4 linked regions of the Drosophila melanogaster genome follow. The protein of the gene in region 4 purifies or fractionates together with the protein of the main gene of each other region. This does not show direct contact. Each region holds a gene or a part of one and is shown on either strand. Other genes may lie near its edges. The genes, in order: yip2, GstE6, CG11771 and fabp.

The links.
Region 1: the proteins of fabp (region 4) and yip2 purify together in Drosophila melanogaster (affinity purification with mass spectrometry, with the first as the bait; one large-scale study listed by BioGRID). This does not show direct contact.
Region 2: the proteins of fabp (region 4) and GstE6 purify together in Drosophila melanogaster (affinity purification with mass spectrometry, with the first as the bait; one large-scale study listed by BioGRID). This does not show direct contact.
Region 3: the proteins of fabp (region 4) and CG11771 purify together in Drosophila melanogaster (affinity purification with mass spectrometry, with the first as the bait; one large-scale study listed by BioGRID). This does not show direct contact.

Annotation. Positions count from the first base shown.
Region 1 is NT_033779.5:9,910,320-9,917,720, reverse strand, and holds yip2 (yippee interacting protein 2), read right to left. Parts: upstream 2,469-7,401; 5' UTR 2,374-2,468; coding exon 2,355-2,373; intron 2,097-2,354; coding exon 1,930-2,096; intron 1,670-1,929; coding exon 741-1,669; intron 682-740; coding exon 600-681; 3' UTR 501-599; downstream 1-500. Other genes in the region: CG5885 (uncharacterized protein), read left to right, coding at 1-278; Srp54 (splicing regulatory protein 54), read right to left, coding at 3,132-4,673; Etl1, read left to right, coding at 5,245-5,377, 5,436-5,596, 5,950-6,512, 6,572-6,904, 6,965-7,232, 7,289-7,401.
Region 2 is NT_033778.4:18,403,153-18,409,145, reverse strand, and holds GstE6 (glutathione S transferase E6), read right to left. Parts: upstream 3,136-5,993; 5' UTR 3,105-3,135; coding exon 2,436-3,104; 3' UTR 2,385-2,435; downstream 1-2,384. Other genes in the region: GstE9 (glutathione S transferase E9), read right to left, coding at 1-55; GstE8 (glutathione S transferase E8), read right to left, coding at 618-1,286; GstE7 (glutathione S transferase E7), read right to left, coding at 1,520-2,191; GstE5 (glutathione S transferase E5), read right to left, coding at 3,844-4,512; GstE4 (glutathione S transferase E4), read right to left, coding at 5,203-5,871.
Region 3 is NT_033777.3:24,927,360-24,935,419, reverse strand, and holds CG11771 (uncharacterized protein), read right to left. Parts: upstream 3,411-8,060; 5' UTR 3,288-3,410; coding exon 3,184-3,287; intron 3,127-3,183; coding exon 1,038-3,126; 3' UTR 501-1,037; downstream 1-500. Other genes in the region: Osbp (oxysterol binding protein), read left to right, coding at 1-21.
Region 4 is NT_033777.3:11,559,112-11,569,851, reverse strand, and holds fabp (fatty acid binding protein), read left to right. Parts: upstream 1-2,797; 5' UTR 2,798-2,864; coding exon 2,865-2,934; intron 2,935-4,740; exon of another isoform or gene 4,741-5,037; coding exon of another isoform or gene 5,038-5,068; intron 5,069-5,140; coding exon 5,141-5,412; intron 5,413-5,480; coding exon of another isoform or gene 5,481-5,531; exon of another isoform or gene 5,532-5,794; intron 5,795-6,559; exon of another isoform or gene 6,560-6,752; intron 6,753-7,555; exon of another isoform or gene 7,556-7,651; intron 7,652-8,646; coding exon 8,647-8,778; coding exon of another isoform or gene 8,779-9,000; intron 9,001-9,059; coding exon of another isoform or gene 9,060-9,687; 3' UTR 9,688-9,956; downstream 9,957-10,740. Other genes in the region: Mrp4 (multidrug resistance protein 4), read right to left, coding at 18-94; sea (scheggia), read left to right, coding at 8,675-9,000, 9,060-9,687; CG10898 (uncharacterized protein), read right to left, coding at 10,323-10,740.

The sequences.
Region 1 (7,401 bases), on a different chromosome or scaffold from region 4:
AGGCGGTGACCCGCGAGGTCAACCGTCAGGTGGGCGATGACAAGAAGGTCACGCGCAAGGAAAAGGACGAGCGCATCCTGTGGAAGAAGAACGAGGTAGCCGACTACGAGGCCACCACCTTCTCCATCTTCTACAACAACGCCATCTACCTGGCCGTTATCATTTTCATCAGCTTCTTTATCCTGAAGAACTCGACGCCGTTCATCAACTACATCTTTTCCGTGGGCATCGCCAGCGGCGCTCTGTCGCTCTTCTCCACCAGCGCACAGACGAACTGAGCGAATGTGCAGCCATGTCATCCCATGTTCATGTACTCGTAATGTAAGGCCCTTCAAGAGATTTCCTGGTACAGCGGGCTGGTCCTTCATCCGCCAACCCCCGTCCCATTGGCGTTTCCAGCAGTGCGAGCATAGAAATTTTATAGTATAAACACCAACTTGTCTTTCTTGTAGAAAGCTGATCAACTTCCATTCGCTGCTGATTGAATAAATTGTAAAGATAAAATAATTTCTTTATTGCTATCGGGGTATTTTTAAAACGGAATTTTCAGCACTAATTTAAGTGTAAATGCAGGGCACCTATTACATTAAGCTGTAGGATTAGACAGCCTCGAGGAGAAGGGCGATGCCCTGACCACCACCAATGCACGCGGATCCAATGCCGTACTTTAGCTTCTTGCGCCTGGAAAAAATATATAATTATCAATTTATGACAGGTTGTAAATTTCCACGGAAACTTACTGCAACTCATGAACCAGATGACCAGTGATGCGAGAGCCACTGGCACCCAGAGGATGGCCCAAGGCGATGGCGCCTCCGTTCACATTCAGTTTGGAGGTATCCAACTTCAGGGCATCGGCGCAAGCCAATGTCTGGGCAGCAAAGGCTTCGTTGATCTCAATCAGATCAATATCCTCCAGTTTCTTGCCGGAAACCTTCAGGACGTTCTGAATGGCGGGTACTGGGCCAATGCCCATGATCTCAGGCTTGACTCCGACAAAGGAGAAGGCCACTAGACGGGCCAGAGGCTTCAGGTTGTACTCCTTAAGCGCCTCCTCGGAGGCCACGATCACTGCGGAGGCACCATCACAGATTCCGGATGCTGTTCCGGCAGTCACAACGCCGTTCTTCTTAAACAGCGAAGGCAGCTTGTTCAGACCCTCGATGGTGGTCTTGGGACGTGGGTGCTCGTCCACCACAAAGTCCACTTCCTTTCCCTTGACCTTAAGTTTGATGGGTGTGATCTCGGCATTGAATGCTCCCTCCTTCTGACCCTTCTCCCAGTTCTTTTGCGAGAGCAGAGAGAACTCATCCACACGCTCCCTACTGATCTTGTACTGATCGGCCAGGTTCTCAGCGGTCAGAGCCATGGGCAGCTTGCAGTAGGTATCGGTGAGGCCAGCCCATAGAGCATCCTCCAGATTGTAGCTGGCACCCAAGGTGGTTCCGAATCTCACATTACGGGCAATGAAAGGGCTCTGTGACATGTTCTCCACGCCGCCGGTAAGGGCTATCTTGGCACCGCCGACCAGGATGTCCTGGGCTCCGTTTACGATCGACTGGAAGCCGGAACCGCAAAGCCGGTTGATTCCAAGGGCGGGCTTCTCGATGGGCACACCGCAGTTGAGACCCACATGACGGGGCACATAAATACCATCGGTGGAGGAGGACTGCGAAGTGGAAGAGAAGAGATTTTTAAGACTTACAAGTTACAAAAAAACATAATATAAGCATGTAGTTCCAGTTTTTGATCTACTGAGTTTGCAATTAAGCAATAATAACAAATAAATATCGAGTAAATTAATTTACATAACCAGATGTACAAGTATTTTATCACATTTACATATTTCTTTTAGTTTAATAACATCTTAATATTGTTTTAATCCGACGCCTTAAGAGTTTCTATTTTAGGATCTTCAATCCAACTTACCGCGATCACATTTCCCACGATGACGGTGTCCACTTGCTCACCCTTAAGACCGGCAGCATCCAGGGCAGCCTTGGCCGCCGTGGTTTGCAATTGGGTCTGGTTGATGCCCTTCAAGGATCCACCGAAGGTTCCGAAGGCCGTACGCTTGGCAGCCACAATATAGATACCTTTACAAAGGAGAAGAAACATACGAACATATGTATAACATATATAATGTGCGTAGTGATAGCACAAATTTAGCTCGAACGAAGGCGGATTTTTGTTTTCGATTCAACAGGTCCAAAGTGCAACCGGCTGGACGCGGGGGGGGGGGATAGCATCAGATAAGACACCAACGAGTCCAAAGTTCAGATCTCTCTAGCGAGATCATCTCTTATCTAGACTTCCAACAGCATAGGCATATCCTAAAGGATTCACATAATTACCTTTGGTTGCGGCAGACATTTTCTAAGGTGGGTTCACTCTTAAATAAAACAACAAATAAATTAATGCAAGTAAAGGCGACTATCGCACTGCAATAACTTTCGACTTCTGGTCGCGATTCGCCGCCATCGCCGACATATTATTGGATGAAAGCTCGAAAAGCTTTACCCCGCTCTCTGACAAACAAAGTGAGACAAGCCCACCGATTACAGCTGTAGAATACACTGTGCAAAATTAGCTGCAGTTTGTTCCTTCCTTTGTTCTTAGTGACGATTAGTCACCATCGCTGAATTTCGATTTTTGATGAAACTCAATCAATCCTCTAGTTTTTAAATACAAGTCTCTTTAATGCGTTCTTAATGTATATTTATCAAAGCAATTTTGCATACTTAAGTACTCCTTACAAAATGTTGATCATACAATGTTTTAAAGTTGGTCTTCATTAGAAAGTTTTTTATTAATTTAACTTGCATTTGTATTGGGTTTTCCTAATAAGAAGACAATAAGATTGTTATAGTTTCCAAATAAACAATCCGTACTTGGCAAAAAATTAAAAAAAATTGTACTGCTATGATACCGATATCATTCATATTTGTATGTACTATTTTTTTCATTACGAAAGAAAATGCTTCAGTTTTAATTAGACTTTATACTTGAAAACTATGACAGAGTTGAGTGAAATACAAATCTCATTGAGGACAATGGGTGTCGGGTTGTACTGGAGACGGGGTTGCTTAAGTTCTGTATTTATTATAAAGTAGTATGCAATCTCTCTAGGTCTAGGGCGAGTTGGAGATGTCCATGTTGTCCGACTTCTCGACACTAACCGATTTGCGTGACTTCGAATCGGCGCTGGATCGTGAGCTCTTAACCTCAGTGTCCTCAGAGATGGATTTGAGTTTGCGAGTTTCGGGAGTACGGGAGCGGTCGCGCCGCCGGGATGACTTGGCGGAAACGATGACCGGATCCTTGCTGCGACTGGACCGTGACTTACTGCCGGTAGCTGGCGGCGGCGAGGGAGAGCTGCGCTTGCTTCTAGATCGGGGAGAACGTGAAGAGTGCTTCTCGCTGCGGTGTGACTTCTTGCTGCGCTCGCGGGATCGGGAACGTTTGCCGTTGCCACTGCCTCCTCCACCGGTGCCATGGGAACGCGAGCTACGTGAGCGTGAGGTGCTGCGGCGATGGCGGGACCTGGAGCGCTTGCCACGCGACCTTGAGGAGCGAGAGTGCTTGCCGCCACGGGAGCGTGATCTCCTGGAACGTGAGGAGCTGCGACGGTGTCGTGATCTTGAGCGCTTGCTGCGAGAACGGGACGAGTGCTTGCCACGCGACCTAGAGCGGCGTGATCGGGACACACTACGTCGCTCTCTGGAACCGGAACGCCTGGAACGGCGTCTCGATGTGGAACGATGCGAGCGGGATCGACTGGTGCGACGGTCCCGGGAACGGGACCGTGATCTCGACCTGCGGCGCTTGTCCTTAGCGAGCATTCCAATTACCGGATCAATGGCCGCTGAGATCATACTCTGCGCCTCTTTCACAATGGTCATGGCCTCCTCAATCTCAGCCTGCGCTGCCTCATTCGACTTTGCCTCCGGCTTGGTTATGGAATACGTGGAGTGGTAGACGCTTAGATGGCCACCCTTGAACTCCTGGCCCTGCATGCGCAGGGCGTGAATAATGCTGGTCTGTTCGCAGAACTCAATCATGCAGTACGTCTTGTTATCCTTCTCGGCCCAACGGGCATACTTCACCTCCCCAGCGCGCTGAAAGCATTCCATCAGATCGTCTAGCCGCCACTCGTTCTTAACATCGCACACGATAATGGTGCGCCGAATCTCCTCGATTTTGCGCGCATCGTAGAACGAGGGTAAGGCCGGGTACTCCGGCAGATTGAATTCCACCAACTTGGGGTCGTACGTCTTGATCACTTGCTGCGGCAGCTGTCCCTCGATGCGGTTAATGACTTCGGGCGGTAGCTTGGAGTCCGGCTTCTGGAGTCCCGGCACAATGGTTCCGTTCTTGAGCATCTCCAGGGCCCGATACTCCTCGGGTATGGCCAGAACGGGTATGACAATTAGGGCGCGATCGATGAACACCGTGTTGGTCAAGTGCTGGGCCACCGGCACACTGGTCGTGTCCGTGTATTTCACATAGCAGATGCGCGACTGCACCGGACAGGAGACATCACGGATTGTCGGGTACAGGCGGATCTCCTCTATCTTGCCAATGTTCCCGAACAGCGTCTGCATCTGGTCCTTGGTGGCCTGCGGCGCTATGTTGGTCACCTGGATCACACGCGGGGTGTTGCCGCCAGCCATGTTTGCCAGTTTATCGGTTTGCCCTTGGCTCGGCAAGCGGTTTATTTGCAATAAAAGTGTTTTCAATTAACCTACAAGAGCAAGCGAAAAAAAGAGAGGGTTGCAACGCGTCCCAATGTTTCGATTGTTGGCCGATTGCTTGCGGTAAGCCGATAACATCTGGCAACTCTGGCAACTTTCTTAATTTACCGCCAGTTTGGGATTTTTTTAAGTTTCTTTCTTTCATTTTGGCATCGGTTTTAATTACTTACGGTTAGGTTGACGAAATCAAATCATATACGATATATACAAAAGCAAATTGTTAGATAATCTCATAGAAGCTTACACTAATGCGTTACAGTTCGATAAAAATAAATGAAAAATAATAATAATCATTAAGCTAATACTTAAATTGGCGCACAGTGTGACCGCATTCCGTTGGAGAAATAGAAATAGGTTTTATCGGGATAATCAAACGGCCGCACTAGCATGCGAATATTCACAAATACCAACTTAAGATTGTAGGAGTTGCAAACAGAATTTGTTAATAAGGACTGACAGATTGCCAGGAAGCGTTTCGCCTTGTCCCACGATGTCGGACAGCACAGTGGCCGCATCTGCGTCGGCCTCCGCCTCATCGTCCGCGAAGTCGAGCCTCAGCGATCTGCGTCAGTTCCGCATCAACAAGAATGCTTCCTCTGTCGTCGCTAGTCCTTCGAGAACTGGTACTTGCTGAGCTAAAATTCCAAGCGATTGACACGGTAGCTAACTGCCTGATTTCAGAGCGTGTGCCTGGAAAGAAGCGCATCCAGGTGATGGCCGATAGTGACAGCGATGGCAACGACTCCCAGACGCCCAAGAAGACCAAACTGGAGCTGACCGTTAAGGAAAAGGAGGAGCGCTACATGGCAGCCGCCAAGATTTCGCCCCACTTTGACACAATGGTAGGTTTCCGGCCGAAATGCCACCAAGGTAAAACGGGGCGATTCGCGGGGAAACGCGCGTCTCTGCATCTGAGTTCGGGGAACATGGCGATTCGGTTCGGCCCGGCGTTGCGAACAGCTGTCGTTAGCCAGGGGCGTCACTGACGGGGATGGGAGCAGTAATAACCCTCTCGTGTAACTGTTTCCACTACTTTGGTGTGCCTCATATAAAATATTTCCGGACATTATCACCGTTCTTATTTGAATTTTAAAATTAATCAGAATATTTTATAGCTTAAAATTGCTCATTTTTAATGCAATATTTTGCATAAATCTCGATTTTAACTGAAATAAATTTCAAATATGTTCCGTAGGCCATCCAGGAGTCTCTTTCCCGCACCAATTGGGATGTGGCCGCTTCCGTGCGATACCTAAGGGAGAACTGCAAGCCCAAGGGGCACAATGGACCACTGGCCAAGTCCAAGCTGAAACCCAGGTCAAACGGAATTAGTGGAGGCAACTTCTCGGATAACGACCATTCGGACGACGATGATGTGAAGCAGTCCAAGGACCAGGTGTATGATAGCGATGACAGCGATAGCGAGATGTCCACCAAGATGACGGGGCAACGTAAAAAAGTTTTCCAGTTTATGAACGAGGCTTCGCTAATTGAACTCCAGTCAGTTAAAACGCTGTCCGAGAAGAAGGCATTAGCCATCATTGATGTGCGACCATTTAGTGATTGGTCTGATTTGCGCCAAAAGCTGGAGAGCATCAGGATGTCGGGTGATCTTTTGAATTACGCTCAAGAGCTGATTAACAAACAGAACACGGTGGCCGCTATTCTAAGTAAGTGCAATAACATGGTGTCGCGTCTGGAGAAGGCGATTTCCAATGGTGCTGGCATTGTGGAGCAACCTAAGCTTCTTAGCAGCGGGTGAGCCTTAACCAGCATGCATGTCCCCATTTGTGTTTCTATTTTCGTTCCTCTTGCAGTCTACAGCTGGCTGATTATCAGATAATTGGCCTTAATTGGCTCACCGTAATGCACAAACAAGAAATGAATGGCATTTTGGCAGATGAAATGGGTCTGGGCAAGACAATTCAGGTTATTGCATTTCTGGCCTATCTAAAGGAGAATGGTCTTAGCCAGGCTGCACATTTAATTGTGGTGCCCTCGTCCACGCTGGATAATTGGGAGGCAGAGATTAGCCGCTGGTGTCCCGAACTGGTGGTGGAGAAGTACCATGGCTCGCAGGACGAGCGAAGGAGAATGCGAGGCCGCTTTGCCAAGGATGGATTTACCGGCTTTGATGTTCTTCTGACCACGTAAATATCCACAAAGCCATAAAAGAATCTAAGCTTAAATTTCTTGTACATTTTGAACAGATATCACATTGTGGGATCCACGCCGGAGGAGAGGAAAATGTTCCGGGTTTGCAAGTTGGACTACGTCATTTTTGATGAAGCCCATATGCTGAAGAACATGACCACGCAACGCTATGCTAACCTTATAACCATAAACGCTAGGATGCGAATCCTGCTCACTGGAACTCCGCTGCAGAACAATCTGCTGGAGCTAATCTCTCTGCTCTGCTTCGTGATGCCCAAATTCTTTGCCAAGAGCATTGAGGACATAAAATCGTTGTTTGCTAAGGTAAAACAAAGATTGGTTTCACACAAAACAATATATAAACTTCATGTTCCTTGCAGAAGGGAAAAAGCGATGGAGATCAGGATGAGGTTTCACAGTTCCAGGAAACACAAATCCAGAGAGCAAAGCGTATCATGAAGCCATTTGTACTCAGACGGCTTAAGAAAGATGT
Region 2 (5,993 bases), on a different chromosome or scaffold from region 4:
TGCATGCTCGCACCGGCGGACTAGCCTCTACGCCGTACAGTACTAATTTTCCCATCGCTTCAGGTGTCCGCTCGCCTTGGCTGTTGACTTGAAACTAAACCAGCTCCGACTATCGCAATTATCGATCGGATGAACTTACAGCTCATTTTATTTCAATTTATATACGCTACTTGCGTATTCCATGCTGACTCACTCTTGTCGTTCGAGATAATTAGCGTTCCTTCTGATTGGCATAATATTTATTTGAATATGCCATTTTTAGAGGGATTCTGTGTTCTTGAAGACAAAACACCTATCTATTATCAGCATTTTCAGCAAAGCTATCTTTGCTTGTAGGATCGATTAGGTAATCTCCATGGACGAGTTCGACTGAGCCACTCCATGAGGTGTTAAGTGTTTTGGTTTGTCTTATCATATTTGTTTGAAATGTGATGGAAAATTCTTCCACTTGACCTGTTTAATTTGTCTTCTTACAACCGAATCAGGTGGCGATTTTTAAAACTGTCTATTATCATAAAATAAAAATCATAAGATAACAATATTTGAAGAATAGTCTTAATAATGTTTTATACAATTATTAAACATTATTATTACAATTATATACTAAGAATAAATTATTAAGTTGAGAAGGTAAAATTGAATTTCTTGAGGAGGGTCACCAAATCCCGGGCACCTTTGCCACATGCCTCCTCGTAATAGGGTAGTTCCTCAATCCTCTTGATCCACGCAGTTATATTGGCGTATTTTACTGTATCGATGACCACGAATACCGCCAGTGCGGTAATCGATGTGATTAGGCTAAAATCCGCGATGGTCAACTGATCACCGGCAATGAAATCGTGTCCGGTGAGAAAAGTCTCTACAAAGTCGTAAATCTCTATGACGGCATCGTAACGCTCCTTGGGAATCGTCGTCTGACCGGTCGCAAAGAGCGGCTTGGTGATGCCTCTCAGTCCGTTGACAAAGACCACGCCGGACTCGAAGTGCAATCGCTGGTCCACCACAGCGCGTTGGAGGAGATCTTTCGGATAAAGAGTATCACTCTGGCCATACTTGGACACCAGATATGCGCTGATTGCGTGTGAGTCCCAGATGAAATGGCCATCGTCCTCTAAAGTGGGCACCGTATGCTGGGGATTCTTCCGCAAGAACTCGGGCGAAAGGGTCTCCTTGGCCAGGGTGTTTATTTTGACGTATTCGTAGGGAATGCCAAGGGCGGCCAAGGTCAATTTGGCGGCCCGAACTGGAGGACTAGCCTCTGTCCCGTACAAAATCAGCTTGGACATGCCGTCTAGAGGTTGAGCCTAGTACTAAAAGTAGAAGCCAAAGAGGCGCCATATTTATTTGATTTGGAAAGAGAACGTTAAAGAGACACATTTTCGCAAGAGAGTTGACAAAAACCTGGCGAGGTGCTCTTTAGTATTTTTATATGTATATTTTCTATTTGTTTATTTTTTGTACTGTACGATTATTTTATTTATAAAGTGTTTAATATATATTAGCAGCATGTATAGATGATTTAATTCGATGCGAAAGTGAAATTATACTCTCTGATGAAGGACTCAAATGTACGAGCACCATTGCCGTTGGCCTCCTCGTAGTAGGGCAGCTTTTGGAGTCTCTTGAACCATGCAGCTATCCGAGGATATTTGGTCGTGTCCACCTTTACGAAGACCTCCAACGAGGACACAGTTGATATGATACTAAAGTCGGCAATCGTAAGCTGATTGCCGGCGACGTAGTCATTTCCAGCAAGGAATTTCTCCAGGAAGTCATAGACCTCAATAATCGCATCGTAACGCTCCTTGGGAATCATCGTTTGCTTACCGGCGAAAAGTGGCTTGGTAATGCTTCTCAGTGCATTAGCGAAGATCACTCCGGACTCGAAATGCAATCGCTGATCCACGACAGCACGCTGGAGGAGATCTTTCGGATAGAGACTGTCCGTTTTGCCGTATTTGGACACCAGATAGGCAATAATGGCATGTGAGTCCCAGATATAATGTCCATCGTCCTCCAACGTGGGCACCGTGTGCTGTGGATTCTTCTTCAGAAACTCCTCAGAGAAGTTTTCCTTGGCCCGAGTGTTTACCTCCACGAATTCGTAGGGAACCTCCAGGGCAGCCAAGGTCAATTTGACGGCACGAACTGGTGGACTTGCCTCCAAGCCGTACAGTATCAATTTGGGCATCTTGTCGCTGGGTAGAGTCTCGTCTATTACTAAACGTCAACAGCGAAGAGTCACTATATTTATAGAATTTCGAAAGAGAGTAATTAAGAGAAGCGAGAGCAGTAGATAAGAAAGTCAGTTAGGTTTTTGCTCTCGCCTCTTCTATTCATTTGTGTCCAAATCAATTATTTCACCACAAAAATTCAAAAGCTCTAGAGTTTTCTAAGCAATTATTTATTGTGACTATATAAACTGTAAAATAATATCATGCTTCGAATGTGAAATTGGTCTTCTTGAAAATGGCCACCAACTGGCGGACGCCCTTGCCATTGGCTTCCTCGTAGTATGGAAGCTGTTCCAGCTTTTTGATCCAAGCACCGATCCTGGGATACTTAGTCGTATCCAAGGCCACGAAGGCCTCAAGGGAGGCCACCGATGAAACGAGACTGAAATCCGCAATGGTCAGTTGATTGCCAGCAATGTAATCCTGTCCCTTGAGAAAAGTTTCCACAAAATCGTAGATCTCGATAATGGCATCGTATCGCTCCTTGGGTACTTTCGTCTGTCCCTGGAAGAGCACTGACTTCGATATGCTCCTTATGCCATTGGCAAAGACCACTCCGGATTCAAAGTGCAGCCGCTGATCCACAACAGCCCGCTTGAGAGGATCTTTCGGGTATAGGGCATCGGAATCGGCATATTTCGAGACCAAATAGGCAATAATGGCATGCGAATCCCAGATGTAGTGACCGTCATCCTCCAGGGTGGGCACCGTATGCTGTGGATTCTTCTCCAGATATTCCGGTGAAAGTTGGGCACGAGCCACAATGTCAACGTTTACATATTCGTAGGTTAGGTTTAGAGCGGCCAAAGTAAGCTTAACAGCGCGAACTGGGGGACTGGGGTCCAAACCGTATAAAGTCAATTTCACCATCTTGTCGCTGTGGGGTCTCTTTTCAAACTAACCCATAACTGCCGAATAACTAATATAATATACAAAACTTGGGATCAATGAAAGAGAAAATTTAAGAGAGATTCCGTGTACTTGAAAAAATCTCTATATTTACTGCACTTTACAAGTCAATAATAATATGTATGAATGTGAATATATGTCTAATCATGCATACATATGTATATCTTTGTCATACTAGAATATTCTAGTGTCTTTGGTCATACAAACCCAAATTTTTAAGTATCCTCCTACTCTTTTGAACTCACTTTACTTTTCTTTTTATGTTTATTTTTAACCTATCCCAACATCTAAAATAAAAAAAAAACTGATTAAAAGTATTTTAGCGCGAACATATGAGAGCACTATATGAATCACAAACATAGAACAACAAGTATTCTGTGATAACCGCTTATCATATGTGAAAATGATTACACAGTACTCGGGCAGAAAATACAAGTCATGCTGACAGAGGTTAATAAAATGGAAAGCCCTCGAAAATGTTTGTTGCCGGCAAGAATATATATATTATCTATGTATGTAGCGACATTCTGTAATAGGTTCTCTGTGTACTTAATACACATTTCATTCTCTTGCTACTTTAATGGAACTAACTAAGTTCTCTTGTTTCCTACAGCGATATTTCTCTTAAATCTAAAATATAAAGAGATAAAAAACCGCAATATTTACAAGTTTCCAAATTATTTATTATAATTTCAGAACTCTAGGTTGCAAAGGTGAAATTAGTGGACTTTAGAATGGTCTCCAACTCCCGGGCTCCCTTCGCATTGGCCTCCTCGTAGTAAGGCAGCTTCTCCAAACGCCTGACCCATTCGATGATCCTGGGATATTTCAACCTATCGATCTCCACGAACGCCACCAGCGAGGTAATCGACGAGATCAGGCTAAAATCGGCAATGGTCAACTGATCCCCAGCAATGTAATCATGTCCAGCGAGGAAGGTCTCCACAAAGTCATAGATCTCGACAATGGCATCGTAGCGTTCCTTGGGAATCCTGTTCAGGCCATTAAAGAATAACGGCTTGGTAATGGCCTTAATGCCATTGGCGAAAACCACTCCTGTCTCGAAGTGCAGTCGTTGATCCACCACAGCTCGCTGGAGCAGATCTCTGGGATACAGGGCATCCGAATCTGCATATTTGGACACCAGATACGCGATAATGGCATGCGAGTCCCAAATGTAGTTACCATCATCCTCCAGTGTTGGCACCGTGTGCTCTGGATTCTTTTTTAGATATTCCTCAGAAAGCTGCTCCTGACCCGAAATATTAACGTTTACAAACTCATAGGGCAGCTGGAGGGCAGCCAGAGTGAGTTTGACGGCACGAACTGGTGGACTGGGATTCACACCATATAGAGTTAACTTGACCATGTTTGCACTTTGAGTTAACGTTCTCTACTGACTGATTCTTGGGATCGAGCGCGTACAAATGTTGTTACCAAATGGAAAGGTTAAGAGAGCATGGCTAAGAGACATTTCTAAGAGAATTTTTGTTGGTTCTTGTTGATTGGTCCTTTAAGAGTTGATTCGTGTAGAGAATAACATAAGTTTCAATGAAACATTAAAAATTTGTGTAATTACAAATTCTGTAGATACTGTTCTGCTTAAATTATGCAATCATTTGATACGGTCTAACGGTTCGTCGAACGATAATCGAAATTGTTTAAGTACTTTCGTGAAAACAATCTAGAACTGACTCACTCAAATAATACTTTCGTGATTGTTGATAACAAGCTATCAAGTTGGTTTGCCATGATTCAAGTAAACATGTTAAAGACCTCGAACAAGTGGATAAGGTATTGTATGTCATGCAACAACTTCTATAGAACAATGGAAAAATACAGAAACTAATCCCCAGATAAACTAACCACCAGGCAAACTAGCCCACAGGTAACTAAAAGTAATAACAATACCTTTTAGGGGGGTGCTTTGCCTATTTAATTGCATAATTTGAACACAAAACAAAGAACATTTTTTTTTGTTTGCTAATATCAATTCTGTGAAAGCGATAATTTCCAATTAAAATGTTAAGCCATTTACTGTCGAAATCAAGACTAGTGCTTACGAAACTATGGTGAAGTTTTTGGACCTCAAGAGCTCCACGAACTGGGCAGCTCCTTTGCCATTGGCCTCCTCGTAGTAGGGCAGCTCCTTAAGCCTCTCCAGCCAGGCGGCAATCTTAGGGTACTTGGCCGGATCCAGCTCCAGGAAAACACCAATCGAGGTGATGGTCGATACGATGCTGAAATCGGCTATGGTCAACTGATCGCCGGCCACGAAGTCGTGATCATCGAGAAAGGTCTCTACGAAATCATAGACCTGAAGGATGTGATCCACCTGATTGCGGGGCAAGGTGGGCTCGCCGAAGAAGAGCACCGGACGGGTGAGTCTCCTTAGGGCAGACTCGAAGATGACACCCGACTCGAAGTGCATCAATTGGTCCACTTTGGCACGCTGCAGCAGATCCTTGGGATAGAGCTCATCGCTTGGCGCGTACTTTTCCACCAGATACGCCATGATGGCATGGGAGTCCCAGATGCAGGCATCATCGTCCTGCAGCAGTGGCACCGTGTGCTGTGGATTCTTCTTCGAGAAGTCCTCGCTAAAGTTCTCCTTCTCGAACAGATTGACGAACACAAATTCGAAGGGCAGATCCAGTGCCTTCAGGGTGAGCAGACATGCCCGTGTTGGCGGACTTGCGTCCAGGCCGTATAGCGATATCTTACCCATTCTCCAGCGAACTTACAAGTGAGTGGTCAGTACGGTAGCAGGACGATTATATAGCTAACCTGCCGGCCCTGGGAAACTGCCAAGCTGTCAATGGATTTTTAATTAAGTCCGCCCACCCCAAC
Region 3 (8,060 bases), about 13 Mb from region 4:
GGCTGTCCGGACATATACTAGACAGCAGTAGCCAACGGAGCAGCCAAGGGAGCAACTGCAGCCACTACCACACATAGCAGCCTTAGCGAATATTCTAAAGTTTTCAGATATCCAGCCTCCACACACAACTAACACACCACAGCGGGACACGCTCCGACTGATTTCGGAGCAGCACATACGCATATTGTAGTACCACACTTTGATCTAGAGCATATTTATATATATATATATATATAAATTAATTCCTGTAAACTAACCAAGTTTAATCCATACCCCTGCGTCGAAATGTACTTTGATTATTTCTTCCTGACTACCGGTTAACCATTTCTAGTGGCTTTCCAACAGAAGGCCAAGACAGATGATAGCTCTTAATCCTCGGTTTCCATCCAAACCCCTAGATGTCTTTTTCCTTTCCGCTGAATGCATACTTCGCCTTTGTTGTGTATATAAATATATCGAACCGAATCGAGAGAACCGAGCAAGAAGCGAGAGAATATGTTAAATGTTATAAATTTATGCAATTTATTATTAAAGTATTATTTAAATAAAGCAACAACGTGTGTGTGTATGTGTGTTCAACTGGGGTAACTGACGATGTCGCCTGGCGACACCACCTGCACACCTGCGATAAGATCCCGCCTGACTCACGCGATCGCTATCACATCCGGCTGCCAATTAGGGTGTAGATCGAATTGCCGACTAATAAATCGTGGAGGCGTAAAGTATAGAATTCTTGTTTTAATAGTTACACTTCCAAAATTTATAAAGCCCTTATCAATCGTTTTTGGTTTTCAGTTTCCTGGCTGGGGTCATTCAATTACGGCTATACTTTCTTTTAAATAAGTACAAGTGGGATCTTGACCAATAAACAAATATTTAACAGAATACATTTCAAAACTATTTTAAAATATTTTCCAATACTCCAATGCTTACTTTCCTATAAGGTTGCCACTCGTCGGGCCTCCACAGGCTGCCATCGATCAGCATTTGTTGACTACACACAATAGATAACGTTTTAGCGGAACAGAGGGCGACCCTCAGTTGTTATCTGTGGTCTGGGAGGGTTCAAATATGTCCAGCGACTTTAGAAGTGCCTCGGCCGACGGGTCGCGACCCTGGAAGCGACGGAACACTTCCGCCGTGGGCACAGATCCGCCGCAGCTGAGGAAGGTCTGCTTGTAGCGCCGGCCAACGACCGCGTAGTTCTCTTCGCTTCGCTGCTCAGCAAAGCTGCTCGAAATGTCGGCGGCTATGAGGCGGGAATACAAGTGACTGAACTGGGCGGCCGCCCAATCTCCGGCAAAAATGTCGGTCAGGGAGCACGGATGTGCGTCCTTCTTGTCCAGCGGCATGCATTGATAAACCGGCCACAGCTTGCGAACCACCTCCAGCCAGAAGGCATTCGAGCGGTGCAGCTCCACGTCGAGATCCGCCAGGTAGAGGTCCTGGCACAGATTATAGCCAGCCAACTGAGTCTTCAGCAATCGCATCTTCTGTGAAAGCTCAGCCTCCAAGGGCTCACCGCTGCTAAAGTGTCCGGATAGGCTTCGAATCACTGTGGGATCGTCGAGGAAGTTGCTCATCACATGACCGGACACTTGAGAGGCATCCCACTCGATGTTTGAGAGTCCCGCCAAATCGCTGTACCCCGCTTGGGTGAGCAGGTGTTGGAGTCCGCTTCCAAAAGTCTTGAAGAGCATCTGCAGATCATCGTATCCAAGAAGCGGGGGCTTGGCATCCGGACTTTGTGGCTCCGAAAAGTTAAATATCAGCGCACAGAGAGGCGTCAGCCCGGCAGACTTATTGCTGTTCCGTATGCCCACCATCCAACCATTGTTTCTGCCGAACTTGTGCTCCTTGGAATAGCAGTCCACATAAAAGCCACCCACCGGGGTGGAGCTATTGACGGAATCAGCATCGAACACATCGTAGAACTTAACTGCCGGATGCCACACCTCCGCATTGGGCTGCTCAACTATTTTGATGCCGAAGAGCTTTTCACTCAGCGCAAACAAGCCGGAAAGAACGCGGGGCAGTGGGAAAAACTCGCGGAGCTTCTGATCTTGGAGACCGTGCTCCGCCGCCAGTTGCTTGCGCCGCCAGTAGGCAACGTCGTAGGCTTCCAGCTTGTATTCACAGCCACTGTCCTGAGCGAAGCCCTGTAGTTTCTCCAGCTCCACACTTTGAGCAGGGCCGGCGAACTTGAGAAGCTTGGCAAAGATCTGCTTAAGGTTGTCCACACTGCCCACCATTTTGGTCTGCATGGACATGTCTGCAAAGCTTTCATAGCCCAACAGATTTGCCTGTCGCTTGCGCAAACCGCGTATTTTTTCGATGTGTGTGCTGTTCTCCAGGGATTTTTCCTGCTGCGAGGATGCCTTCAGCACACTGGCCCTCCAGACGTTCCAACGCTGCATTCGCTCTGGGCAGTGCTTTAGAAAACCATCGACCACTTGAGGCTGTAGGGTTATCTTCCAAGGACCCGTCATAGGTTGTCCGGGATCGCGGGCTGTTGCCTCAAGAAGCGAAGGCGGGAAATCTCTTACAAGATTGAAGTCCGTAATAATCTGTCCAAACGAGTGCACTGCCATGTTGACCTTGTTCTTGAAGTTGGCTCTCTCTCGACCCAAATGGGTAAGCAGCTCTTTCAGTCCATCCTGCTTATCTTTGTCCAGCGTGAGCCCGTTCAGCTTGCCCTCGAGCAGGAACTTCTGTCGCATCCTCTGCTCATCTGGACCCGAATCGGACGAAGCATCCTTGAGTGCCTTATACACCGTTTGATTGCAGAACTTCGCTGCCCGAGCGTTACGCGCTCGTTCGTGGATGTTCATGTAGGATTTGGTGGGTATCAGGGTAGAATTGCCCAGGTACAGAGCCTTGGCCACACCCCATGTCGTCTCCAGTGGACCCGTCACGGTGTCCAGCTCCCGAAAGATGCTGGCGGCATTTAGCTGCTTGCCACTGTGCAGGTCGCTCTCCAGCGCCTTCACCGAGTTCTCCACCGCCGATGCCTGCTGACCAATGGCGCCCAAGCACATCTCGATGGTGATGTCACTGAAGGCGGGAAGTCCGTCCGGCTTGAGCACGCCCTCGCCTAGCGGTCCCTCCTCACCGATCTCCGGTACCCTGCGGGGATAGGTTTAGTGACTCCACATGTTGAATCCGGGTAATTTTCGTACTTACAGCACTATGTAACCCGGCCGGTTTTCCGTTGAGTGCAGCGGAGCGCTAAGCGCGGCCCGGATGAGGGGCACCGACGTTGGGCGCCTTCGTAGGAGATTTAGCATGTCCTAGGTGAAGTCGTTAATCCAGATATGTACAATTCCGGACAGTTTGCGCCGGAATTTGGGATTCTGAAATGGGGGCCAGCGTTTACACAACACGCCTGGACCAAAAAGCAAGTGACAGCGGCCAGGGTTGCCACCATCAGCGGTGGAGCCGGCAGTGATGCGAAAATCACACTTTACTGCAGTCACTGAATCCAATCTATCCTAATCTGTGACTTCTCTTTTTTTTTTTTTTTTTTTTTTTAATTTTTATTATTTATTGAATCTTCCCTTTGTGTTAAGAGACTAACAATAAGTGTTCAAATCTTAATCTAACTTAATTAACTTTCACTTAGTGATAGTTTTTTTTTTTTCATTAATGCCCTAATAAGTTTATTGCTGGGCTGGGAGGTCGTTGCGGTGCAGCCGGCTTTGACTGCATACTCGGATTAGTTTTCTTGCGAGGGGATTTGTATGGGTGGTCAGCTTTTCGTTATACTTCGTTTTTTTCTCAGCTATTACTTCGATTACTAATTTGATTTTTAGGTCTCTGTGTATGTTTTCGTTCCGAAGGTACCACGGCGCTCCAGTGATAATTCTCAGAATTCTTGACTGTGCTCGCTGAATAATGTCTATGTTACTTCTGGATGCGTTGCCCCACAGCTCGGAGCCATAAGTCCAGATAGGTTTTAAGACGGAGTTGTATAGAAGAGCTTTGAACTCCAGACTAAGTGGAGAGCGAGCATTTATGAGCCAGTGGAGGTTCCTTGCTTTAAGTTTAAGATGTTTCGATTTGGCTTCTATATGTTTGCGCCAAGTGAGCCGCCTGTCCAGATGAACTCCCAGATATGTTACCTCGTCGGCTTGTGGAATGCATATGTTATTCAAGACCAGTGGTGGGCATGTTTGTTTGTTTAAGGTAAAGGTAACCTGCTTGCATTTTTGAACATTTATTGAAATTCTCCAGTCGGCAAGCCATCGTTCTACAGATGTTAAGTGTCGGGATAGGAGTGCCGTGGCTTTTATTGGGCATTTCGAGCGACTGAGTATCGCGGTATCATCAGCGAACGTGGAGGTTGTTAGATTGTAGTCTATGGGGAAATCCGCCGTATACAGGGTGTATAAGATTGGACCCAGTACACTGCCTTGCGGCACTCCAGCTTCGATTGCGCAATCGCGTGAAGTGCTTGTATCGCATCTTATTGCAAACACTCTGTTATATAGGTATGACTTCAGTAGCTTATGTGTGTTTTGGGGCAACAGCTTGATTATTTTAAACAAAAGTCCATCGAGCCACACTCTGTCAAATGCCTGCGCGACGTCTAGAAAAATGGCTGTGCAGTATTCTCGATGTTCAAAAGCAGTACGAATTTCTGACGTGATTCGGTTGACCTGTTCGATGGTTCCATGTTTTTCTCTAAAGCCAAATTGATGTGTTGGAAGTGTGTTGTTTATTCTAAGATGAGGGCTAATCCGAAGGAGTAGCATTTTTTCAAACAGCTTTGAAAGACATGTTAGTAAGCTTATCGGTCTATATGATGATGGCTGCGTTTTATCTTTTCCTGGCTTTGGAATCATTACTATGGTCGACTTTTTCCATTTTTGAGGGAAGTATCCAAGCTTGGCGATTGCGTTGAACAACAGGCAGATGTGAAGAATAGCACACTTTGGGAGTTCAATGAGCATTCTTGGAGTTATTAGGTCGTAGCCAGGCGATTTTCTTGGGTTCAGTTGCTCTTTGATAACCTTTGCTAGTTCACATGGTCGGAATTCAAAGGGTTCTTGAGGATCTAGATTGGCTGCTATTAAAGGAGGGAGAATAAATGTGTTGGTAGAGGGATTTGGTCGGAATACATTTTGTAAATGGTCAGCGAAAGCACTGGCTCTTTCTTCATCACTTCGAAACCAGGTGCCAGAGGGACTTCGTAGTGGCATAATTGGCGCTATTGGAGTCTTTAGGTTTCTGTGAGCTCTCCAAAGAGGGTACTTAGTGCTGGTGGGAGAGAGTTGCTCGATATATGAACGTTGGCTGTTTTTTTCCTCTTGTTTGAGAGCATTGGTAAGCCTGCGTGTGGCTATCTTAAGCATGTGCTTAGTAATTGGTGATCTATTAGACTGCCAATCCCTTCGTAGGCGTCGTTTATCTAATACCAGCCGCTCGATTTCGCGATTAGTTTTGATGTAGTTTGGTTTTGCATACGTCACTGGCGGGGTTGAAGCCTTTGCAGCCGAAACTAAAATGTTTTCAAGAGTTTCCGTTGACTTGTCTATATCCTCCTTTGTAGATAATGCCGTCGTTAGTTCTATGTGTGAACAGACATACTTTTGATACCTTGGCCAGTTTGTTCTAAAATTTGTGAGTCTATACGGTGGGTCGACGATGTGGGGGCGAGTTAGCATATTTAGAAAAACAGGTGAGTGATCTGATGATAAGTCTGCTAGTGCTTCGGCGGTGACCATGTTGCGGGGGACATGTTTAGTAATTGCAAAATCGATCAGGTCTGGGATTTTTCTTGGGTCTGCTGGCCAGTATGTAGGCTTACCCGGGGATACATAGTCTAGCTTGTTTTCTGGCTTCGTAAGCGCATTGTACAATTGCTTACCCTTTGGCGACACAAGTCGAGATCCCCAATGGGTGTGCTTGGCGTTATAGTCACCCGCTGCGATGAACCTGTCACCTAGTGTGTTAAAGAATTCCATGAATTGATCCTCAGAGATTGGAAAGCGCGGTGGGCAGTAGACTGCGGCTAGAGTCGTTGAACCATTGTTGAGTTGTAAGGCTATGGACGTAGATTGTAAGTAGTTTTTGTCAAAATTGTTTAAGTGGTGGTGTTTTATGCGATTTCTGATGAGTATTCCAGTGCCTCCATGAGCTTTACCATCTGGATGATTTGTACCATAGAACAAGTATCCTGGTATATGAAAATTGTTTTTGTTTGTGAGGTGCGTTTCTGATAGTAGCATTACGTCGATGTTTTTTTCGTAAATGAACTGTGTGAGCTCTTGTGTATGCCGTGAAACGCCATTTGCGTTCCACAGAGATATCCGTAGGGAAGCCATTATGGGGATTTTGAAGATACAAGAAGTTGAATCAGGATATTTTGGTTTTTCATGAGCTCTTGCAAAGTATTTTGCATGAACGTCATGAAGTCTTTCATGCTTTGCTGTAGGGATAGCATCATAGCTTCGATGCCACTTTGTTGTGTTTGTTGGATGTTTGTCGGTGTATGTTCGGAATGAGCAGTTCTTGTCGGTGGGGCGGGCACTTCTAGTCCGGATTTTAGGGCGCTAGCGAAAGAAATTGTTGGAGTAGTGCTTGGGACAGTTAGGGGTGGTTGAAAAATCGGTTGCGGAGAGTAGAAATTGACTTTGTTGTATGTATGTGCTGTGGCAATACGTTTGTTTAGGCGGCTCTTCAATTCTTTGTACACCACACAGCCTCTGTAGTTTGCAGTATGTTTTTCCCCGCAGTTACTGCATTTCTTCACAGACTTATCGTCCTTGTTTTTGGGGCAGTTTGCGGTAGTATGAGGTTCGCTACAGACAACACATACGGACTTAAGGGTGCAGTATGCCTTGGTGTGGCCGTATTCTTGGCAATTAGTACATTGAACTGGATTGATACGTTTGTGCGGCTCCTCCACGGTGATCCTCCGATGTAGCAAGTACTGTAAATTGTATATTGGGTGCACTTCGTTTTTCTTTAGTGCCTGGAGCTCTGGTTCGAGTTCTATTTTGAATAGTGGCTGCGGAACTTTGTCTTTGTTTAAAATATTAATAGCTGTCTTTGCAGAAAAGTTTTTGGCCTTCAGAGCCTCAATTATCTCAGCTGGTGTCACTGTTGCTTCAATGCCCTTAAGTACTACCTGTAGCCCTTTGCAACTTTTTAATTGGTATGTGTAGTAGTTTTTACCAGCATCATTTAGGTATTTAGTCACTATACGGTGGTCTGCTTCTGTTTGGATCTGTAGTTTTATTTCATGAATATTTCCTTTTTTAAGTGGGATAATGTGGAACTTGCTGTCACCAATCAAAGCAACGAGTTTATTTACAAGTGCATTTGTACTTTGTTCTCGTATGAAAATTGGTGGAGGCCTGGTCTTTTTTGGTTCCCCTACCGTTTTTTCGTTGGGTTGTTCGGTCGCAGAATCAGCCAAGATAGCATATCGGTTTGAATTATTTACTGCAGAGTTTTCATTGCCGTTGTTGGTTCGATTGATTTTGGGTTGATTACCTGCCTTATTGTTTTGAGGGCTGAGCTTTCTCTTGATTTGGATGTAGCGATCCATGCCAGTCTGCACAGTCGAAATCGACTTCTGCTTTTGTTTTGATTCTTCTTTACGTGCATTATTGTTGTTGCAAACGGTCAGTGCTGCTGAATTATTTACAGCTGGCACAGCGATAATTAGTTGGGCCGCTGACGAAGTTGATGTTGTGGCAGTTGCCAGTGAGGTCACTGCACTCGTTATTGCAGTGTTACAGTTACCCGGGACGGTCGTTTGGCGCTGCGAGAGGAGCGGGGTAGGAGAGGCGGTCTCTTCGCTCCACGACTTGTGAGCCGAAGCAGGCAGAGAGGGAGAGCAAGAACGCGGTCTGTCGTTCGCTGAGGGCAAAAGTTTCGAGTTAGTTGAAGGTGAGGTTGCTCGATCACCGATTTGCGGTGAGACGAAAGAAAAGTATGCATTGTTGCGTTGTAAAGAGAGCCGGCGCTCGTCTTGTTCACATTGTCGCTGAGAACGTATGTCGTTTTGATTCATTGTTCTAAGTCCACATATAACAATTACCAGAACAATA
Region 4 (10,740 bases):
ATAATTTCTACGCTCACCAGAACATAAGTGACGAGAGGGGACTGGATCGCTCCCGTGGATTCTCCGGCAGTTCATCGGCTTTCATCGACTGCATGCTGATTGCACTGATTGGAGCTAAATTGCACTATATAGAGTGTAGCATTACAAGTACAGGGGACTTGCTCGGTCACCGGGATTGCCTTTGGACGACGGCGGTTGATTAGCACTTTTCGATACGAAAGGGGACACGCGCTCTATTTTAATATAATTAGTTTGGCATTAGCCGAGGAGAAACCAGATGGAAATGCGAGCGATTTCAGATTCCGATCTACGAATTCGATTTCTATTCACGTTTGCGGGAAGTAAACTTTTCCACTGGCACAATGCAGACTTCAATATTGCGTGGCATTCGGATTGGAAGAAGTGCTGCTGCGAGATCACGGTTCCAAAAAAGATCACTTCACGCGGAGATATTCGGTATTTCTATCTGTTGCAGGCGTATTTCGTCATAGATTGCCTTGTATTTCGTATGTGATTTAGTTCATAGCACATCTTACTTATCGCGAACGTATCGAAGTACACATGGCACTGCGCGCTACTCTACCCACGACTATCTGCTCGCTCCGAAGGTCCGACTCGTTCTGACCCGATCCGCTCTCGGGCTCCACCTTAAATACATGTCACTCTCTGGGTAGGTGTTGTGCCAGGTTAAGATCAGCGCTCTTTGTGGGTGCTCTCCAATGCTCTTGGTGGGCTCTCCATTACACTAGACTCTTTGCCACTCTCTTTATATCGCTCTTTCATAGCACTATTCTCGATCTCTTTTGTTTGTGGGTTATTTGTTTAGTCTTTAGTGAGACTAGTGATAAGCAGGTTAACTTATATTTTCCTCGTTTTGCGCGACACTTTGCAGTAGTAACCAACGTGTAACAATGATACGACACTTTTATGGTGCTGGCAAACATTATTCTAACATGTCCGATAAAGCTGTTGACTCTTTGGACTTTGTAGTTATAAAGTTAGGATCAGATAATAGATGTTGTATCTAAAGTTTTACAAACGCAACAGCTGTTGCACGGTCTCATTATTTGTCCATTCCATTACAAATCCAAATTTTATTATTAACTACTTTACCGCACTAGTTGAGCGCAGCTGTTAGTTGAGGTTTTTTGAAAAGTTGATATTACGATTTTGTGCTGCATACTTTCGGGCTTTAAAGTTTCCGAATGACTAAATGCATGTTTCTTCAACGCAGTCCAGGAATGGCTGCATGCAGTCGAAAAATGGACTGCCAAATGGAATGTGGCCATTAACTCCTCGAAGTCAGCCTGTGTAACTTTTACCCTGCGGCCCGGAACTTGCACAGATCTGACTTTTGATGGAAACAATGTCACATCGCACTGCTACCTAGGAGTTCATCTAAATCGGGGACTGACCTGGAGGGCCCACATCTCGTCGGTCAAATTCAAGTCACTGGCGAAACTAAAAAAGCTCGACTGGCTCTTCCACTCCAGTAAATAATACACATTAAGAAGTATATATATAAAGATATACTGAGAGTATATCATATTTTGTATTGATCAAGACGTTACTTATTATTGGTATACATAAATAATATATGTAGTACATATTATGTACATAAGTATGTTTCGTGGCAAACCCCCGTAATCTCTTTTATTTATGACGATCAATGCAATAATAAGGATGATCGGTGAGGGGGGTGCGGGATCATGGACTAATTGAATTAATAAGATAACGCTTAGCAACAAACAAGTCGGTATCCATGTAGGTGGGCCCTCCCACGGGATGGGCAGGCTTATGGAGATCGTGGGTAATCTCAATATTGCATTGCCTGACCATGGGTGGAAGGAAGTCCTCGATTAGATTACAATTCACCGGCGACTTATCAAGAGTTATTCATAACAATAATATAAACGAATTGTGTCGAAAATTATTTATACACATTGGTAAAATGTAGAAGCTCGGGAGATTCTTTTAATGGTGCCACTGACCCACAGAAAAAAGTCTACTAATTCGGAATATATGGGGGGCGAACAGTCGAGACTCAGAAACCTGGATAACGGATATCCTTTTAAATAAAATATACGTGTGTATGTATGTTAAAATTTTAAATCTTGATATTATATTAATAATAATTTTGTACTACAAAGTGAGATAGTCTGGGTTTCAAATAAATTCCCCTTCCTTACTTGCACACATTGGGTTTCCCAATGCGTAATCTGAAATTCGGAGAAAAGTTTAAAGTTCGCGCCAAAATAGGCAAGTTTTGACTGTATAATGCGAGATACATTGCAGTTCCATTGTCAGCATGACAATGTGGCGTTCGTTATTAGGCCGGTGCTTTTGAACCAATTAAGGCTGCAGCCAATTGATCGCGCCAAGGTGAAGGTGCTTGGGTGCTGGGAGGAGCAGGAGGAGCTGGTCAGACGTTGGGTGGCAGTAACACGTCCGATCCATTACCAATATGCGGTGTGAGGGGGAGTGGTGGCCCCCATAGAACCGTTAATATTTTTTTTGGAGAGCGCCTAAAAAAGCTGCTTTTTGTAAGAGCGCCAACGGCTTGGCGCCGACATTTCGATACCTTGGCGGCTGTACTTGGCTTTGCATCTGGTAATCCGATGCTCAGCCGATGCCACATCATTAAATTTTTAATTTGTGAGACAAACAAAAAGGAAACGTGCAAAAGCCGTGCCGCAGAACGAGAGCGAATCAAATGAGAGCGAGAGGCCATTAACTTGCATCTGGCAATGCCGTAGCCGCAACGCGAAAGTATATAACAGCCGGCACGCCGCAGAGCTTTTCATTCGCTCAGAAAATTTCAACAGTGAACATCTTGTGCAGAACACAGACCAAATATTCCAAAAATGTCTTTCGTTGGCAAGAAGTACAAGCTGGACAAGTCCGAGAACTTCGATGAGTACATGAAGGAGCTGGGTAAGTTGCCAAAACTAATTCGCAGTGCATCAAAAATAGAAAACCAAAGTGCTCGAGAGAGCGAGAGCGGGAGTGGAGGGAGAGAAAAGAAGCCGAAAACACGCCACCGAAAATCGACCGGCCGGCATTTTTCGCACTAGTGTGCAAAAAGTTTCATTGGCCAAACGAGAGGGAAAAAAGTAAATGTCTTCCGGAAAATGTTATATCAACTGAAGATTATGAATGAATTCGACTGTTAAAATAGTTTAGCTACATGCATAAATTGACACCTCATTGAATCTGCTGATGTGCGTATGTGTGTGTCAGATAAAATCAATAGAGAATAGGACCAGAGAAAGAGATGCACATCTGCAGCAATAAAAACGTGCTCCAGTTATTCACCTCACCCTCTTTCTCAACTTTACAGTTGCGAATCGGAGGACAAGCAGTATAAAATCCGTAAATGGTTATCTGCGGTAGTCATAAACCCAAAAACTAATTAAGTGTGGGGCCTGAACTTTGCTCCCCTTTTTTGAGTCACCTCCGTCAGCTTTCCATGGGACCGAAATCATCATAGTGCCATTAGCTTTTGCGACAGGTTTTATCTATTTGTGTACTAGATTTTGGGAGAAAGTCTCGCAGTGAACTTTGCACTAGACTACAAGCTTTATAGCTGCGATGATCTTTGCCCGGCTGTCAATTTAGACAACAATGAAACACCAGATATAAACTACATATAGGACACATTCGACTCTCTTACCGATCAAAGTGCAATTTCTATTGCAATCGTGATTATACTATATGGTGCCACTAAAACTGATCAATACCATCGCTTCCTGTCTAGACGCGCCATAGGGACTAGTGGCATTTGGTAACCAGAGACGGGCGTCCAGATTTATTTACCAGACCACCAGTTCGTCAGAACTTTTCGCCTACACACTTTGCGGCTTCGGTTTAATGGTAGACTTGGTCCGAAAGCCACGTACTTCTCAATTTTCAAGCCCAAACAAATCTAAAATCAACCTGCCGTTGGGGCCTCGCAGCACTTATCAGTTGTCGTACATATATAAATGCGATAAACTATATGCCTATTTATGTACACACATTTGTAGTATATACAATGTCGCAAAAGGCACGATAATTAGGCGCGATTACGGATTTTGCACTTTGGGCAGCCACCCCTATCATAGACCACGGTTCGCAATTGCAGGCCAGTCTAATCTATTCAAGGTTCTCCTGTCATATACGATGCATATAAATCGATCTCTGGTACAGTTGCTGGGTTCCCATGAGTGGGAACCTGGCGACTTATCGCGCCACGCCAGTTGACACTTGACTTGAGGGCACTGGACAAAAGAACAAGTTGGTGGTGGTCCATACATAATTGAACATAATTGATTGGACCACTTGTTGGTTTGATGTCTGACAATGTACTAGATTGGAAATAATACATGTGCCCTATTTGCTGGCACATTCGTAAGGTACCAGTGATTCACACTTTGTTTTTGATTCAACGTTTCATTTGGCGAAACTTCTTTCAAATAAAAATATAAATGCAAAATTACTCATACAGCTACGTGCATGCATATAGTATTTCAGTAATTACAAGTCCCATAAAATTAAGTGACAAATTTTAGTACTTAAACACGATTGATTGTTCACAATCGTTAAGTTATCATTTAATGATGGAATTGCTTTGCTTATCTTTCGATGGTAATTATCAGCACTTCAAAGGTTTACGATTTGGAACGTCAGCAAAATGGATCTTGACCACTTAAGCCAGTAAAATATATATTTACACTGCTTGAATGGCATTTATATTCACAGTTCTGCCCTCAAACAACATATGTATATATGGAATGCTGCACCGAGATAAGGTGGTGCTTTGCCAGATCTATATTTAAATGCATGGAGGGGCTTGCCAATTGATAAGAGCGGAGATGAGGATGAGGGAGGAGACGACGGCCCGCATTGTTCGTTAACCTTGAGCACGACTTTTGACGTTACAGCGGAACGGAATCTGCAGGGAACTTCATGGCTCGGCTTTATTATTTTTAATTAAATATGATATGATTTGCATTGTGAGCGCTTTGGGGTCCCCAACTTTGTTGGGCTAATTCAATTATGTGCAGTCTGCCCCATCATTCATCTTTCGGTGCGATCTTTGATTTCCTTACATTCTCGTGAGATGGAACTTCATTAATTTCTTTTCCCTTTCCACTTGCAGGCGTCGGTCTGGTGACGCGCAAGATGGGCAACAGCCTGAGCCCCACAGTGGAGGTGACCTTGGAGGGCGATACCTACACCCTGACTACCACCTCCACCTTCAAGACCTCTGCCATCAGCTTCAAGCTGGGCGTTGAGTTCGACGAGGAGACCCTGGACGGTCGCAACGTCAAGAGCATCATCACCCTGGATGGCAACAAGCTGACGCAGGAGCAGAAGGGCGACAAGCCCACCACCATCGTCCGCGAGTTCACCGACAACGAGCTGATCACCGTAAGCGCTTACTATACCTTGCCGTATATCATCACACCCACCTAACTGATCCAATGCCTCCCCCACAGACCCTCACCATCGGCAACGTTAAGTGCGTGCGCGTCTACAAGGCCGTCTAAGAGACTGATCTAAAACTATAATATCCATACGACTACATGCATTAAAACTAACTCAGATAGCCAATATTCTTGTTGACTAACAGTGAACTAAACCAAATCAAATGGAACTGCACGCTCTGCCCAATGTTAATTTATAATCGCACCCGTACACCCGCAGTCGGTGTATGTGGGAATACTCCTCGTACTCGGGGACCAATTTCCGAATGCATTTGAATAAACTATTACTTGAAGTGCTTTTAAAACATTCCGACTTTCTTTTACACTTCGCTTTTAAGCTTGTTGTTGCTTAGGTTAATGACGAAATGTAAGCTTAGACACAGCAATCAAAATTATATTAGTTTTAGTTATAAATTTATATTTTGGCATTTTTCCAACTATTTCCCAAATTTACGGTTTTGTGAGTAAGCAAGTAACGTGTTTTCATCGAAATAATTTTAGTTCCTACCTAAAAAAGAATTTTTAAGTGGCTTGTTTGTGAGGCGAACAATGCCAGATATTTTAGTTTGGCTTGAAAGTTATCGTTAAGGATCCCGAAATTCGTAGGGTGTCATATTTTCAATGGCTAAAGGGATCGAGAATACCAAATTCAATTACATTTTCAATTGGAGGTCATATTTTTGAATCGATATGAATTATAAAGTTTCAAATTTCAAACTGTTAAAAGAAATTCCACCTTTGGGGTTATAGAAAGCATGTTTCTTACTATCGTTTCTTATTGTATCGTTTATTGAAGTTGTATGTATAAAGAGAAGAGGCACAAGTCTGAATGGTCTCTGATTTGCTTTTGGGCTGCGGATGTTCTGCCCACGCGTTTCCGTTTCCGTTGCGATGCATTTGCTCTTGCTAATTGAGTATAAAACACAATGCTGCTGGGGCTTTTGCACTGTTCGTGTGAATGGGGTCTGTTGCAAGTGCGTGCCACAAGTGTGGGTGGGTGGCATCTGCTGCATTTGGGGGCTGGCGCAAGCGCACACGTTATCAGCGGACAGTTGGCAGCACGGCCACACTTTCGCCGGGTTTTTTTTGTTAACATTCGTCGTTTGCCGGCGGCGTTAGAACTACGTGTATCCGCATGACGCCGAGTTGCGTCAGTCGGTAAATAGTAGACACTTAATTGTTGGTCAATTGGGCGTTATAAATTAAAAAGCAAAAGCGCCGTTATCGATTTTATTAGTGTAGCACTAAATGCTCTGATAACCTGGATAAAACTACCGCGTGGGTGTGCGTAGGCTACGCGCATTGTGTGTGTGTGAACTCATTGTGTAATCGCTAAAGAAAAAATGTTGGTCTACTTTGCGGCGTACCTAACATTCAAAATTTAAAGTCAAATGTTCTTCTTGTTGTTCTTCAGCGGAGCTTTTCCAGTCCGCCCCAAAAGCTCTGTCCACTTTGTTGTTGCTGGACAAACGGGTTTCCGATTAGAGAGAGAAAGAGAGATCTTCACTGCGGTGTCAGCAAAAAAACGTTACTTTGGCGCTACTCTTCGCACTCTCTGCACAGAAAAAAGTTCTCCATAAAGTAATCGAAACGCACTTATATAGCTATCAAAATACCTTTATCAATGTGGAATCAATCTTTAGAAACTTAATATTCCATTATTAGGATCGAACTGATGTATGTGTATGTTACTCGTTTAGGATCGTTTACTAGATAGATCCACGTATCATTTCTTTTATTTTCAATTTCTGATTGATTTTCAAAATAGAAATATTTTACTGTGTACATTACTGAGCGCGGGGAGAGTGGATACCGCTGAAGTGCTGTTGTTTACAAAACGCCGACCATTGGAATTACAGTGCGCCCCTGATGCAGTGAACTATAGAGAATAGCGTGCTCAGTCTATCGATTCAATTTATTTTACAAAAAGTTTGATATTTAGAAGAATCTACCATTTTAAATCTATTGGGATAGAGTTGTTCGGACTGCTGACTGTTGGATCTGAAAATCCAAAGTCCGTTAGTTCCGGGATGCACTGTATCGCTTTCGCTCGTCGATTGGAAAATGGAATTTTTTCGTAGCCCCGATCAGTTGAGATTCAACCGCTGTCCCCATCGCCACTTCACTTCACCGCTGCCTGGGCTTTCCAAAATTATAATTATTTCGGTTTTTTGAATTCTAATGTGAGTAGTAGAGAACAATACCCGATAGCAAAGCTGCATGAGCAAAAATTAAGCGCGACTTTTGCCAGACAGCAGTGCGCTTTGAGTGTGTGGGTGTGGGCTTAATCAACCGCTTTTGAAGTCTGTGTGTGTGTGTGGAAGTCGGTAGAAACTTTCCAGTGCCGACTTATCAGTGGGTATTGTTTATGTTTATCCAGATTTCCAGACCGATACGGAAATTGGCTTAAACAGCGGCATAAAATGAATAATTATGAACTTGCAACTGTGTGCGATTATAATTTATGGTCATGCAAAAGTTATGTAATCGCACTGAAACAATATTAATTTGTCAAGTGCAAAGAGCGAAACAACCAACGAGCCTGCTGATATTGATATAGTACCGCTCCCACTCAAACCGTCCCAGACTATATCACCCGATCTTAAGTAATCACTATTGAGATTTTCGAACATTTGGTTTTTCGCTCTGTTTGTGTTAGTTTGTCGACTCTTCGTTCACAGTTTTCGAACCTTGTCCCCAAGGTGAAATGAATATGTTTTGGGGGAAAAGAGAGTCAACGATACAATGGGAAGTTACCTATGATAATGGCATTGATTACTAACTTTAAATTGGAGCCCGCTGGAGCCATTCCAGCCAAGTGGAATTCTTTTCCTCATAGAAATTGCATAACTAGTAGAGCAGAACTGCAATTAAACAAACATTTAATACGATAATTAAGGTCGATATTCGCATAGATACGCGGTTCACGATTGTACGTCACAGATATAGTTAAATTGTTTAAATAGATGATAAGGAATACTTCAGATATCATTATCTATGAAGAACAAATGCCATATTTTCATACAAGTTTTGGGGAATATTTTGAAATCCGCGCACCCACGCAGAACGAGTCTATTTTGATCCATTTACAACAATAGGATATAAATAACATTCAATCGGACAGAAATCAGCTGGAATTCACTCAGTACAATAAATGAATTCTACTATTTTCTTTCAGCTAATTCCCCACCTAACACCCAGTCAGCATGGATCGCTCCGCCTTCGCGTCCCTTGTCAGCCCGTACCGCCGACGTCCGTGGATGACGGAGCACGGAGCGGCGGCTGCGGACAGCGGCCAGGTGGGCCTTAAGGGCATCGTCGCCGGCGGTATTACGGGCGGCATCGAGATCTGCATCACCTATCCCACCGAGTATGTGAAGACACAACTGCAGCTGGACGAGAAGGGAGCGGCGAAGAAGTACAACGGCATCTTTGATTGCGTTAAGAAGACGGTGGGAGAACGTGGATTCCTGGGTCTCTACCGAGGTCTCAGTGTGCTCGTCTACGGCAGCATTCCTAAGTCAGCGGCGAGGTAAGTTATATAACTTTTGGTTATAGTTCATGTTTTGCTGATTAAAAGATAACTTTCAGATTCGGTGCTTTTGAATTCCTGAAATCGAACGCCGTGGACTCCCGAGGACAACTGAGCAACTCCGGAAAGTTGCTTTGCGGCTTAGGAGCTGGCGTATGTGAGGCCATCGTGGCAGTGACCCCGATGGAGACCATCAAGGTGAAGTTCATCAACGATCAGCGCAGCGGCAATCCCAAGTTCAGGGGATTCGCCCACGGCGTTGGCCAAATCATCAAGTCGGAGGGCATCTCTGGTATCTACAAGGGCCTAACGCCCACCATTCTGAAACAGGGCTCCAACCAGGCCATTCGCTTCTTCGTACTGGAGTCCCTTAAGGATTTGTACAAGGGTGACGATCACACGAAGCCAGTGCCCAAGTTGGTGGTTGGAGTGTTTGGAGCTATCGCCGGAGCAGCCTCTGTGTTCGGTAATACGCCGCTGGATGTGGTCAAGACGAGGATGCAGGGTCTGGAAGCATCGAAATACAAGAACACTGCCCACTGTGCGGTGGAGATCTTGAAGAACGAAGGTCCCGCCGCCTTCTACAAGGGCACCGTGCCAAGATTAGGTCGTGTGTGCCTGGATGTGGCCATCACCTTTATGATCTACGACTCCTTCATGGATCTGTTCAACAAGGTGTGGGTGTAACTCGGCGATTCGGCTTGGCGACTTAGTTACTTAGTTCATCCTTCTACCCCAAAAAACCCACTCGTGCATTTTCCTCTGTTCCCATTGTTCCCTAGTCGACTGTTGCAATAGTTTCTAGTTTTGTGACATATTCCAAGAAAGCATTTTATATACACTCTATACCCGCAATGGGTAAGTGGCTATAGAAATTATACAGCTTGTTTTAAAAATTGAATTAAATCTGAAGAGTCTATTTGAAGTTCCCATATAAATCATAGCTAGACTGGATGAAATAGGTAAGGCTTTTTGGATTATTTAGTTCGCATGAAAACGTGAATATTTTAATTGGTACTATATAATAGTAAACAGTTTTCTAAGTAAATCTCTAGAATAGATTAGGCTACGCAAACGAGTAAACTTCAGATTAGATCTTTCACCAAGAAAGGGGAATGGGTTAAGAGGTTAAGATTACTTCTAGGCGTTTTATGACAGATTGGCAGAGACTTATCTACGTAATTCACTATTTAGCACCAAGGAGGGAAACATTTGCCTTACAGTCGGACATCTGGCAGACATCTGCTATCTTTAATTGCAACTAACAACGGATAGATTGCTTGCACCATAAATAAGGACAGATTACTCTAGTCTAAGGCATTTTAGCGCACCACATTCAGCGGAATGGATGCGTTCTTGCTGCTGACGATACGTCCCAGCATCTCGTCAAGTGGCGCACCCAGTTCCTGCCAAATGCACTTGCCGATCAGCGAGATTTCCTCCAGTGGCGGTCGGAAAGCCACCAGCAGATTAAGGCATATTCCATCAGTGTTCTCCTGCTCCGAAGCTGAGTGCTCCACGCTAAGTAAGCCATGTGGTCGATGCTGTGGCAGCTCCGCACCAAAAATCTCAATCATGAACTTGCGCAGCGTAGAGTGCAGGCTGCGATTCGGATGCAGTTCGACCGTGGGAAAGTGGTGGGCGTTCTTTTCACTGACCAGGATGTTCAGCGAGTTGTGTGCTCGCTTTCTGGCTACAGCCAGAACCCGCAGATAGTTACGTTTGTGGGCGAAACGTGTG